Neodiprion lecontei: one gene and its partner. The protein of the gene in region 2 binds, or shares a complex with, the protein of the main gene of each other region. Links are inferred from orthologs where the notes say so. Each region holds a gene or a part of one and is shown on either strand. Other genes may lie near its edges.

Evidence for each region. Proteins that work in one complex are often made in the same cells at the same time.
Region 1: parafibromin (region 2) and RNA polymerase II-associated factor 1 homolog share a complex: the UniProt entries of both Caenorhabditis elegans proteins name them as parts of the PAF1 complex. The link is inferred for Neodiprion lecontei from reciprocal best matches to the Caenorhabditis elegans genes cdc-73 and pafo-1.

What each region holds. Positions count from the first base shown.
Region 1 is NC_060263.1:34,360,289-34,366,917, forward strand, and holds RNA polymerase II-associated factor 1 homolog, read left to right. Parts: upstream 1-1,613; 5' UTR 1,614-1,826; coding exon 1,827-1,897; intron 1,898-2,867; coding exon 2,868-2,948; intron 2,949-3,140; coding exon 3,141-3,233; intron 3,234-3,700; coding exon 3,701-4,025; intron 4,026-4,108; coding exon 4,109-4,252; intron 4,253-4,347; coding exon 4,348-4,451; intron 4,452-4,540; coding exon 4,541-4,757; intron 4,758-4,931; coding exon 4,932-5,175; intron 5,176-5,383; coding exon 5,384-5,808; 3' UTR 5,809-6,093; downstream 6,094-6,629. UniProt on the Caenorhabditis elegans protein: Component of the PAF1 complex which is a multifunctional complex involved in transcription initiation via genetic interactions with TATA-binding proteins, elongation and transcription-coupled histone modification.
Region 2 is NC_060262.1:32,034,054-32,040,051, reverse strand, and holds parafibromin, read left to right. Parts: upstream 1-1,749; 5' UTR 1,750-1,836; coding exon 1,837-1,967; intron 1,968-2,957; coding exon 2,958-4,231; intron 4,232-4,433; coding exon 4,434-4,575; intron 4,576-5,171; coding exon 5,172-5,208; 3' UTR 5,209-5,399; downstream 5,400-5,998. Other genes in the region: uncharacterized protein LOC124293362, read left to right, coding at 1-185; U3 small nucleolar ribonucleoprotein protein IMP3, read right to left, coding at 213-236, 397-469, 901-1,215, 1,374-1,510. UniProt on the Caenorhabditis elegans protein: Component of the PAF1 complex which is a multifunctional complex involved in transcription initiation via genetic interactions with TATA-binding proteins, elongation and transcription-coupled histone modification.

The DNA of each region.
Region 1 (6,629 bases), on a different chromosome or scaffold from region 2:
GGTAATAAATTTCTGAACAATCCTGTGTTTGGAGGTCAGCGGACAGAGTCGTAAACTAACCAGGTAATGAGTAGAAGTTGTAAAAAGGAACCTTGATCATCTTTACATTTGTTTTTTATTACTTTTGAGATAATGATTGCCTAAGGATCATCAGGGTTTGTTACAGCATGGACTCAAATATTAGTAACAATCGAATGTTGCCTTATTTCTAAAAAATATTGACAAGTAGTATTTTTGTGTAGAATGGTCTGGGTTTTCCGATGCAAAGAAACTGTATTTTTAACAAACCAGGGGAATATAAAGTAACCATCGAGAAATTATAGTTATAGTTTCGATTTCGAGCAATTATTGCTGTAGCGTTAAAGTGTCCAGGTTTCGAATTGAGGGTTGCGCGTTTGAGGTTTGTAAATATTAAGTTAGATTTTGGTTAGTGGGCTGCAAGCTCAGTATATTAAGAAGTAGCGTGGGTTACGAATAATTTTCTACTGTTTAATTTTGGATCACGAAGAGCAAATTTTGAATTCCTTTTTTTTTTATTTGTTTTTGTATCGCCGCTATTGCAAAATGTATTATTTTATTTTATTTTTGTTAAATAGCGTGTCGTTGTCGAGTGTCTCTCTATCTGTCTTTCTCCCTCTCTCCAAAATTACCCCTCCCCTCGCCGCGGTACTGAACTACCGAGAATATTACCCGAGGTTTAGTGGAGATAAAGATTTCAAGCAGTATTGACCACGCCAGGCGCCCAAGAGAATCTCGCGATATCGTTTGCATGGTCTTTATTTTTCAGCGTACATCGCGGACCGCCAAATGATTGTACGCGCTGTAAGTTATCAGTCGCATCTCCGGGTGGCCGAGGTGCAGTAAAAATCAGCGTCACAGTACACAAATTACGTAAGGAATAACTATATGTCTTCTCCTTTGGTTAAATTAACTCCTTCGACTATTTCTCCTATTATTTGCATCAAGAATAGGTTTCTAACTCTGTTAACAGTAAACCAGGTGTATATTTATTGTGCATCTATTTAGATAACATTAATTTTGTCTATCTGATGGAATTACATTAACATTACCGAATGTGGCAAGGCTCAAATGAACTTGCATAGTTGAAAAGTATAGATAGATAGACAGATAGATACGTCATTCGACTCGGCAAAATCTAGATACACGCGGTGAACGATTAGTAACATCAGTTCTTGTCGTCTTTATGTACCAACCATTTGCCGGATTGGGTTGCGCGTGCACGGCAGGACCATAGACTTATAAAAGGTAGACTGAAGCAAAAATTTAAAGGACAGAAATATGCCGGGAGTACTCCTTTCTCTCTCTGACGATATTTGCGGCGGGGATCGAGGCGGTAGAGGAGAATGAGGCGAAATTATGCACCTATGTCTATAGCTGTTCCAGTTCCCTACGCCCTTGTCTCCCGGTATGAAATCGATTGAAAAGAGAGAGCAGCCTCCCAATATATCTCTGTCCTTTATATGTAAGCTTCAGTACCTCTTGTAGGAGCGCTCAGACTATCTTTATAAGTCTATGGGCAGGATGCAGAGGGCGCCGCTTGACGATGCATTTGTCACGTCCACATTCCATTACGAAAAGTCCCATCAGGCTATCAATCTTTGCGTATCCTTAGTCGACGCATAGTGTGAGAGGGTAAACAGTGGTTAAGGGACAGGGGATGGATGTATGTTCGTGGTTAAAAACTTATAGGTTATACGTTATAAAAATATTCATAAATATCGGAGTGCGGTATCGTGATTAGTTAGAGTACCTATAATAATTCGTGAATAATATGTGCAATTGACAAATACATCGCTACTTACGCTATGGCGCCAACCATTCAGACAAATAGCAGTAACGACAGGGACAAGCGAACTGCTAGGCCGATTGAGAAGAGGTAAATTATATGAACCGCTATATATTCTAACTCCCTGCCAACACTTTTTACTGCCACAACCCTATCAAAAATCTCTTCTGTATATACTCTTGAAGCAAACTAGTTAAATTCTGCATGTAAACGTTACTTTGCACCCTTTTACAGGGTCTGTCCGGAAAGTAGTCGAACTGAATTTTTCTCGCCCAGAGAGAGCGACAGAGACCTTTTCGTGTGGATCGGGTTGTCGGCAGTCTTAGCTAAGAAGCGCACATGTCCCCAATCGCTTTCGAGTCTTTCCGGAGTGTAGGTCGATTTTAAAGTGAACCCCGGTCAAGGTGCCTCGTCACGACCTCTTGAATGGCCTGGACCAAGCCGTGGTGCCATCCTTTCGGAACCCGTTTGAGTCGAGGGAAAAGAAGGAAGTCTGCAAGAGCTACATCTGGGCTGTAGGGTGACTGGGGATTTTTGATCATTTCATGGGCTTCACTTGCGGTTGAACTGAGTTCAAAACAAAACTTTATCGCGCAATGCTGCTCGAATAAACGATTCGTTGCGAAGCGTGACGAGGCACCTTGACTGGAGTTCATTTTAAAATCGACCTACACTCTGGAAATGCTCGAAGGCGATTGGGGATAGGTGTGCTGCTTAGCTAAAACTCCTCACAACCCGACCCACATGAAAAGGACCTCTTTCCGTCGCTCTATCTGGGCGAGAAAAATTCAGTCCGACTACTTTCCGGACAGACCGTGTATACTAGCATCTAAACGTTAATGATATCAGCAAACTATCGATTCATTTTACCCGACCAAATTTATGTCATAGCTTAGAGAGCAAATTTTGCTATAACTTGTAGTCTCTGAGACTAAGATCTTTGTCTGCCGTAATGCAACTATTTTGATGATCGTTAAATTTGATCATTCACCTCGCTTGAAAAATTGATCAAAATGTTCCTGTTCATTAATGTAACATTTTCTATTTACATCAATTACAGTGGGAATCAGATGACCTCTGGCATTCAGTCCAACAATAATAAAGATGCCATTGATAAACGTCCTAGACCAGCTGAAAACAGGTATATATCTTACATTAGTACATAACGATTTAAAAGATTAACAGAAGAAAAAAAAAAACATGAATGCAAACATCAGTTGTATTTCAAGCTGAGAAAATATAAAAAAAGAATGTGCACAAAATCTGATATTGCAACCTGTCTGCAGAAAATATTGGTCGATTCAATTAAACATGTTTCACTTGTGATTTTCAGGTCTGAATTATTATGCCGTGTAAAGTACTGTAACACCCTACCAGATATTCCATTCGACCCAAAGTTCATCACATATCCATTTGAATCAACAAGGTAATAGAGCTAACATATGTTGCAGTTCACTAATAATTGTAATACAGTCGAACCTGGATAAGCGAGAGTTCAAGGGACTGCAATCTCTTTTTCGCTTATAGAGGTTTTTCACTAACCCGAGTTTCTAGCTTACAGAGGTACATGAAAGGTCTGTCTCACTGACGTGACAATTACTCTTACTTACAGAGTTTTCTCGCTTACCCAGTCCTCATTCAGTTTTGACTGTATGTGGTTAATGATTAGCACCAGTATACTTTAAAATTATCTAATTCTCGAGTAATGTTACGAAATTGAAAAAATGTCCACTCTAACAGTTTGCAGATTAAATCCGGTTATATAACCCGATATTTTAGAGAATTTTAGCTGTTTTAGGAATGTAATTTAAAATATTGACATAACCAAAGTAATAAAACTGTTATTTTGTTGGTAGTACTTCAGATATAATAAGAGCTTTGTAAATCATACAGATTCATACAGTACAATCCGACATCTCTGGAACGTAATTATAAATATGAAGTATTGACGGAGCATGATTTGGGTGTTGAGATTGACTTAATAAACCGGGACACCTATGCTGGAGATATTAACGCCCAACTTGATCCTGCGGACGAGAAACTTCTGGAAGAAGACATCCTCACTCCTCAAGATTCAAAACGTTCTAGGCATCATGCGCGGAGTGTATCATGGCTCAGACGTACGGAGTACATCTCCACTGAACAGACACGGTTTCAACCCCAAACTATGGACAAGGTTGAGGCTAAAGTTGGTTACAGTATTAAAAAGAATTTCAAGGTAATGATATCTGTTTTTCTAATGTCAAAGTCAAATCATGATGTGTGGCATTTCAAGTAATGCATGATTTTATTTGTTGACAGGAGGAAACATTATACATGGATCGAGAAAGTCAGATAAAAGCTATAGAGAAAACATTTGAAGACAATAAAAAGCTAATTGAAAAACATTACAGCAAACCAAACGTTGTGCCTGTTGAAATATTACCTATCTATCCTGATTTCAAGGTGAGCAATAACTGACGATTTTTCCTTTTATTTTGGACCTATTATTAGGAATATTAAGGCACTTGTTAATCTCGCTTATTTCATACCACTCACAGGTATGGAAGTACCCATGTGCTCAGGTAATATTTGATTCCGATCCAGCTCCGACTGGTCGATCAGTACCTGCGCAAATTGAGGAAATGTCGCAGGCGATGATCAGGTAAACTTGAGAATTTGTGCAGGCAAACTTGTAAATCCCAACTGGATTTTACGACAGTCTTTAACTTGATATTTCATACCTTTCTGCAGAGGTGTGATGGACGAAAGTGGTGAACAATTCGTTGCGTACTTCTTACCACTAGAGGAGACATTAGAAAAACGTCGCAGAGATTTCACTGCAGAAATTGACTATGCCGATGATGAGGAGTACGAGTACAAAATGGCAAGAGAGTATAACTGGAACGTTAAAAGCAAAGCTTCAAAGGGATACGAAGAGAATTACTTCCTTGTCATGCGTCAGGACGGGGTTTGTAATATTTGTATACCTTTTTTAACAAAATCGCAATTCGGTATATTAATTCTTATGTCTTAAATTGAAGCGATATCGAACTCAAGAATACTGTAATAAGTTCAATTTTTAGTAGTCTAGTATTTCGAAAGTGCAAAATTTCTCACATTATATCGTCTTTTCACTGTATAGGTTTACTACAATGAGCTGGAAACTCGAGTACGTCTTAGCAAGCGTAGACAGAAGGCTGGTCAGGCACCTAATAACACAAGATTAGTTGTGCGCCACCGACCATTGAATGCCAATGAATTCAGGATGCAACGTTATCGTGAGAAGCAGCTTGAACCACCCTGTGAAGATGACGAGGAAGAGGAAGAGGAAGAAGAGGAAGAGGAAGAGGGACAACCACAAGAAACTGAAAAGGCTGAAGACAAAGGTATACCGAGACATTTAAAAGTTCTTTTGAAAACAGAAAATTCGTGTAAAATAAACACTTTTTCTTTGACCAGTAACCATAATGTTTTGTTCGTCGTTTTTAATACCTTGGAAAGAACTTTGTCTAGACTAAAGTCGAGAGTTTGAATGTATATTATGTATAACATCCGTTTCTGAATGATAATGAAACCTATTTGTGTACTTTTCAGCTGGCTCTGATAATGAAGGCGGTTCCCGTGCATCGTCGCGTGCATCTTCGCGAGCATCCAGTAAGAAGTCACGATCTCGTTCAAAGTCAAGATCACGTTCAAAATCAAGATCTCGATCAAAATCTGGATCGCGTTCAAAATCTAGGTCTCGTTCAAAGTCACGCTCCCGTTCAAAATCTCACAGCAAGTCTAGGTCTCGTTCGGGATCTGCTCAATCTAGAAGTACTTCAAAATCACGATCTCAGTCCAGATCTCGATCACGGTCCAAGTCCAGATCCCGATCACGGTCTGGTTCTGGTTCGCCCATTAAGTCTCCATCGCAGTCACCGTCAAGATCTAAATCGCGATCAAGATCAAGGTCTGGTTCAGGAAGTGGCAGCGGGAGTGGCTCGGGTAGCAGTGACAGTGGTTCCGATAGTGAGTGATCTGGACTATAAGTTTAATTGTATTATTAGCATAAGTGAGCAATCGATTACCTGTCACCGTTAGTCTCCCACTCACTCGCAAATAAGATAATCAAGGAAGTGTGCAACATTTCGTTAGGCTTAATTACGGGGCTATCTGTTTGTTTGGTAGCCTTGTTCATGATAAACTTTGGTGATGTACAGAATCTGCATTGACTACAATTAACATATTAGGGATTTTATATAAAATATGTCAATGGTAGTTACAATTTTTAATAAAACAATTTTCATTAAATGCACCCCAAATACTTTTGTGCAACTCATTGTCAGTCACTAATTTCTACCAGCTTATTCTCAGTAAGAACCAATAATTCAATACATTCCAGTACCTCTTAATTTTACACCAAATTGGCCTGAATGAAATCCGAAAAATGATGTAACCAGAGTATGAGCGCGAGAAAATCCTGCTTCTACACACCTATAACCGAATGAAACAACTTCAATCAAATAGAACTGTTAGACCCAAAGTAACACCAATCGCCCACCGATATTTACTTGTTATAAGACGTCAACAAACAACATTCATACGGATAAAATGATGACTCGACATATGCATTTCTTCATTGACCCAGCATATCTTTCACTATGAGTCGAGTGGATAGCAGACTTTAGGGTCGAATCCTTCACAGTCGCTCAGCTATGTACGTAACAAATCACCGCGGTGGCAGCATGCAATTCTGATCAAAAACGATCCAGCAAAGTACCACAGTGCCTTATGTTGCCCCAAATTCCACTGTAACTTCATGGTATTTGGACTGCTATTGGAACTCGAAATTTCGAAT
Region 2 (5,998 bases):
TCTCAACAAGTGATTACATGGAAATACGCGATACAACAAATCCGAGCATTTCTTCACGTAATTGTTCACTGCCTTCATCCCACGTGAAACTAGGGAGACCACTACGACTGTTGAATAATACTGCAGTTTTTTACAACGGTAATAAAGATCAGGAAACTGGTTTCAGAAAACTATATCGCCATTGATTGTTCTGCGGCATTTCATCAGAATGTTCATATACCCTCAAAGTCATCTTTCTGAAACAGTACAGCACATGCAATTGATTAGATAAATGATTGTCACAAATTGTAACGAAATATGTTGAAAAATGTTGTGTATTAGAACATTTTCTTAGATTTTGCAACACAAAGTGTAACAAACGACATATTATTACTTGCTCCAGAACATGACACCTACCATTTCATTGTATTCCAATACATGTTTCCTTATTGCTGAAGTATCAACCCATGTCACAAAGTCTTCCAAGTTTCTGGAAATCGAAAATTATTACGATTAGCATTTTAGGGATGTCAATTTCAGATAGTTAGCAAAATTTAAAAATTGGTAGATACTTGTACCAGTTAATTTTATTTGGTCTTATTATTTACAGATTAAAACTAAATTTACTGTTTAATATCAAACTGAATAATTACTTTACGTCTCTCAAATGTCATATAGAATAAGGATTATTGTCTAGTTCTAAGATCTTTAATGTGAACCAGGAAAAACTGTAAAGTATTCACAGAAATATCTTTCAAGTTACTCTGGTAAGTTATAACTGATATAGAATATGTATTATTTATTAACTCTACCGTCAACTACCCTAAGTAAATTAGAAAAGTATATCATTATATTTTTAAAAATAATGCCAATTTGTTTTGATTAAATTAGGATATTAATGATTTAAAAAAAAGTATATACCTTGTTACAAGAAATGCTGGGTCCTTAATGACTTCAGGTCCAACTCGTACATGAGCTTGTTCGATTAGCTTTGTCGCCATTTTAATGGTTTCACTCATTTTATTACGAACCATAACGACAGGTAATCTTCTTCTACAAAAACAGCTGGCTGTAACTTTCTCGCACAGAGATAAATCCCACTTAGTGGAAATGAGACCCATCATATACAATTTCTCCAGCAACATGGCACTTTGTTCTATTCTGAATGGATGTTCAGCATCTACTTCCTTGATCTTTCTAGCCAGTTCTCGAATTTGTCGTGATAATTTGTTGTATCTGAAATAAAGTAGTTGTTATACGTACACATAAGTTAAAAATTAGAAACATAACGAACAGTTTTAAGGAAACAGTAGCTTAGGTGATGTCAATATCTCTGAGAGAAATGTATCGAATATTTCGATCATGTGGAGGTTATACTGAAAATGACAACTCACTTCGTATAATCTTCTCTTTTTTGGATTCGGTATTTTTTCAAAATTTTAATCTCGTGCAAGTTATTGTCTACCTCCCAAGAAATAAAGTCTACTTTTTTCAGTAACTTCTTCTCGTGATGTTTCAATTTTCGAACCATCTTTCGAATTCAAAAATGTCACGACTTACACGAACACGTGTGTTTTGTCGACACGCGAGTCTGGTTTTCAGCGGAAAGCAATGGGTGCGTTCGACTTGGGCGCTTACGGCTTCAGGCTTCAGCACATATATAAATATACATATAAATGCTATAGGATATGGCGCTCACAGCGCTCAATGCAGAGTGCTCAATGTGGCTCAAAGCGACCCAGTCGAACGTACCCAAAGTCGGCCTGTACAACCTCAGTACTCTCTGCTCAGTAGAAGCGTGCGTGGACGGTGGTGGACGGTGGGAACTGCGGAACGAAACCGTCACGGTAAACAACCATGGCGGATCCGTTGAGTTTGCTTCGCCAATTCAACGTAAATAAAAAGGAAATTATTGAACGTGAAAACCAAATTATATTTGGTGAATTCTCATGGCCAAAAAATGTCAAGACAAACTATTTGACATACGGGTAAGGATCTCATCCAAAAAATCTCATTATATTTCTTATACTACTTTCCAATCTGGGCAAACTACAACCAAAAATCAGGCTCGTCGTTTTGCTTTTTTTGGCACAAAGATTATTTAAGTTTTCATATTGCATTCATGTGTAGCTGACTGAAATCAGTGTTATACAATCCTTATTCTTCACCGATATTTTAAGAACTGGTTACTTCAGTGGCGGATGAAATTCAACGCGGGCCATTTCTCAACAAATTTGTACACGTATAATAAGGTGAAGTCTTTTCGTGTGATGCAAACACGCTCTGATACATTGAGTAAATGTAGCAAACAAACGCAGTAAAGTTTACGTGCTTCCTCCTATTTATTATGAAGATTTTCTTTTTGTACATCGACGTAGCTGTCGCTGTATTTTGGAATTTACGAACGAATCAAATGTGAAATTTCTACGGAGATACGATAAGATTTTCTGCTGTTCACAAATTTCAAACTTGATTTCTACTAGCATTCAGATATCATACATTGTTGATGAATGTTCAAGTGTAATCCACGATGTGAAAAAAGAGGTATCATTATACCTTCTCACATACTTTTTCTCCAGCGAATCGCAAAATAAACAAAACATGTTTATTAAATTTATTATTGCATAATCATAGATTTGAACACTATGAAATGTAAAATGAAGCTGTAAACAATTACCTACATTTATAATTATCCAAAACAATTGCGCAATGTTTATATCTCGATTTCACTCGCATCAAACGAGTCAGCGAGACATGAAACTTCAGTGACATAACGAAACGCAAATAAGAAATATAAGATAATAGCTTGATCGTTGTCAAAATGTGAAATGTCATGAATTTAATTTTTTTTATATTACAAAGTGGTAAGATTTCAATTGCATGTTAGTTTTTGGGTTTGTCTACGAATCGACATATATTTTGTAGTCCTTGTAATTGTTTGGTTGTGAAATTTTCAGTTTTCTGCTTACATTTTGCAGATCCGGAAAGGAAGGCACACCTAAGGAGTACTATACTCTTGAATGCCTTTTGTTTTTATTGAAACATGTTCAACTCACGCATCCAGTGTATGTGCGGCAAGCCGCCGCAGAGAATATACCTGTGGTGCGCCGTCCGGACAGAAAAGATCTGCTGGCTTACCTTAATGGTGAAACAGCCACCTCAGCCTCCATAGATAAATCAGCTCCATTGGAAATACCAACACAAGTAAAACGAACTGCCGAAGATGGGCTAGATGCGGGACTTTCTAAGAAGCCACGTTTTGAAGAGACACATGTTCAGAAGGTGAAGGAACAATTGGCAGCGCGACTGGATGCGCCAAAAGAAGCTTCTGTCACAGTCGACAATATCAAATCTCTTTCAGAGGCAATGTCTGTTGAGAAAATTGCTGCAATCAAAGCTAAACGTTTGGCAAAAAAGCGTACTACAATCAAGGAAAATGACGACATTGGTATGGGTTCGGATTTGCGTGTTATACTAGACATGGATGTCGATGATACTAAGGACATCGTATCTAGAGAAAGACAGTGGAGAACTAGAGCAACGATACTTCAAAGTGCAGGTAAAATGTTTGCCAAGAACATATTTGCCATACTTCAAAGTATCAAAGCCAGAGAAGAAGGCAGGATGCAAAAAGGGCCTGCAATACCCGCACCAATGGTTACGCCAAGGTCTACACCTATGCGCCCATTGCCACAACCAGCAGTTTACAATCGTTATGACCAGGAAAGATTTATTCGTCAAAAAGAAGAAACTGAGGGATTTAAAATCGACACAATGGGGACTTATCATGGTATGACGCTAAAATCTGTGACTGAAGGTACCAATCCCGCAATAAGAAAGCCCACAGTCAATCCTGCTGCTACACCAAGCTCCGGATTACTTCCTGCATCTGCTGCAAAACTGACTCCACAACAAGCAGCTCAGAATAAAAGACCAAGTAGAACACCCATAATAATTATACCCAGTGCAACTACATCTCTTATAACGATGTACAATGCCAAAGAAGTATTGCAAGAATTGAAGTATGTTAGCAACGAGGAAAAGCGAGCACAAGGTGGTAAAAGGGAGAATGAGATTCTTCTTCAGCGAAGAAAAGATGGTGGTCTCACTGTTCCTTATAGAGTTGTTGATAATCCCCAAAAGTTGACAAATGCAGACTGGGAGAGAGTCGTTGCGGTGTTTGTTATGGGTCCTGCATGGCAGTTCAAAGGTTGGCCTTACGACGGAAATCCTGTCGAGATATTTTCAAAAAGTAAGACAATTCAATATATCTACATTACTGGTCAATGTCACTTGGATACGTGACAGATCCTGTAGTTTTATTCTGTAATTAAGTTTTTGTCACCCAAACTTTTTTTCATTTGGTGGTTGGAGAATTCAAATAGTTTTTATATTATTGCTTTTCATAAAAATGCCTGATCAAGTTTTATATGTTTTTACTAATATGATTTCAGTTTGTGCCTTTCATTTGAAATACGATGAAATGAAGCTAGATGCAAATGTTGCCAAGTGGGCAGTAACTGTTGTGGAACTGAGTCGCACCAAGAGGCATTTAGATAGAGCAGCATTGATGGTCTTCTGGGAGCAATTGGACAAGTAAGATCAATTTATGTACAAAATAGCGAAGTTCATAACTTTTTGCGATTAAAGAATATCAATAATTCCGACGGTTATTGTTTTTTTTTTTTTTTTTTTATTTGCCTAATTTTTCTGTAAGGAAAAAAGCTGTCTTAGCATTCAGATCATTTTTACATTTATTTGAAATATGTTACAGCATGTGTGTTGTCAAACTTCCGTGTTCTTCCAAAGTTTTATTATTATTACTATTATTATTATTAATCCTATTCTATTGTCAAATATCAGCCAGCAATTTTCTCTAAAGTTGTATGTATGAGGACCAGTTTTACCAACTTTGTTTAAACATCGAACTTCACTTGCATAGTGGTTTAATTGACTTGACAGTTGAGCAGTGTAGTTTAGTAATAGATAATAGTTTGGAGGAATGAACGGATTAGAAAAGGCATAGAGCAGCTAACTTTTTTTCACCAACTTTTTGTATACCAAGAGAGAACTAGAAGTAGATCAAATTCCGAGCGTAAGATTTCTGGTCTCCAATAGGTAAAAAGACCTCTAAGCTGTTGACTTTCTAATTTATGATATACGGTGTCATAATGGTTTTATTTCTGTTTCAGGCATATGATCAAGAATAAACCACATCTGCGATTTTAATAACTGAACATGAATCGTGCTCTAAGCAGCTTGTAATATATAGATGACACAATCATCCACACAGCATACGCATGCACGTATATTAAGTTTGTATATCATGACTAATACGGTTTATAATCGTTAAAAAAAAGAGAATAGCATTATCAAGTGTAAATATTGGTATAAAAATGAATAAAATGAGTACATGAATATTATGTGGAAATATAGATTGAAAAAATGGAAATATTATATGTTTATAAATAGTACGGTTGTGTATAACGATAAATATTCAGTTATTTGCAGTGGTGATGATTTTTTTTATTCGGAAAAATTTTCTTTTCCATGATAAAACGTGAATGTTTTCATACTTCCGAATGGTTAGTTTCCGGCTAAGCATGTGGTGTGAGGTCTCAGCCCGTGGTCTCAATATGTCTGCCATTTTTTCCTCCTATCCCCCTCCGGCCAGCCGCTGTGTTTTCGTTTACGCGTGGCTTACGCCTATGTATGTTATGTAGGTACGTATCTACATGCCTACTTTACAAGATTTATTGGATCGCAGTCTGCCTTCGGAGGAAGATCGTGGTGCGTGATTACGGGATTTGTGCGGCGAAGAAATCAATCTGTTCAACGGAAATCAAAGATCGCGTGGGTGCTGTAACGTAATATAGGAGTGTTTATCCTGTAGTTGAGTAACAAGTCCGTTGAAGCGTGAAGTTTCAATTCCTTGAAAATATGTCAGGCCAGTAGTGAATCATTTCTGCCGTTCCAGTCAACGTATTTTATCAATCCAGCCGTCGTCAGTTGCAGCGAG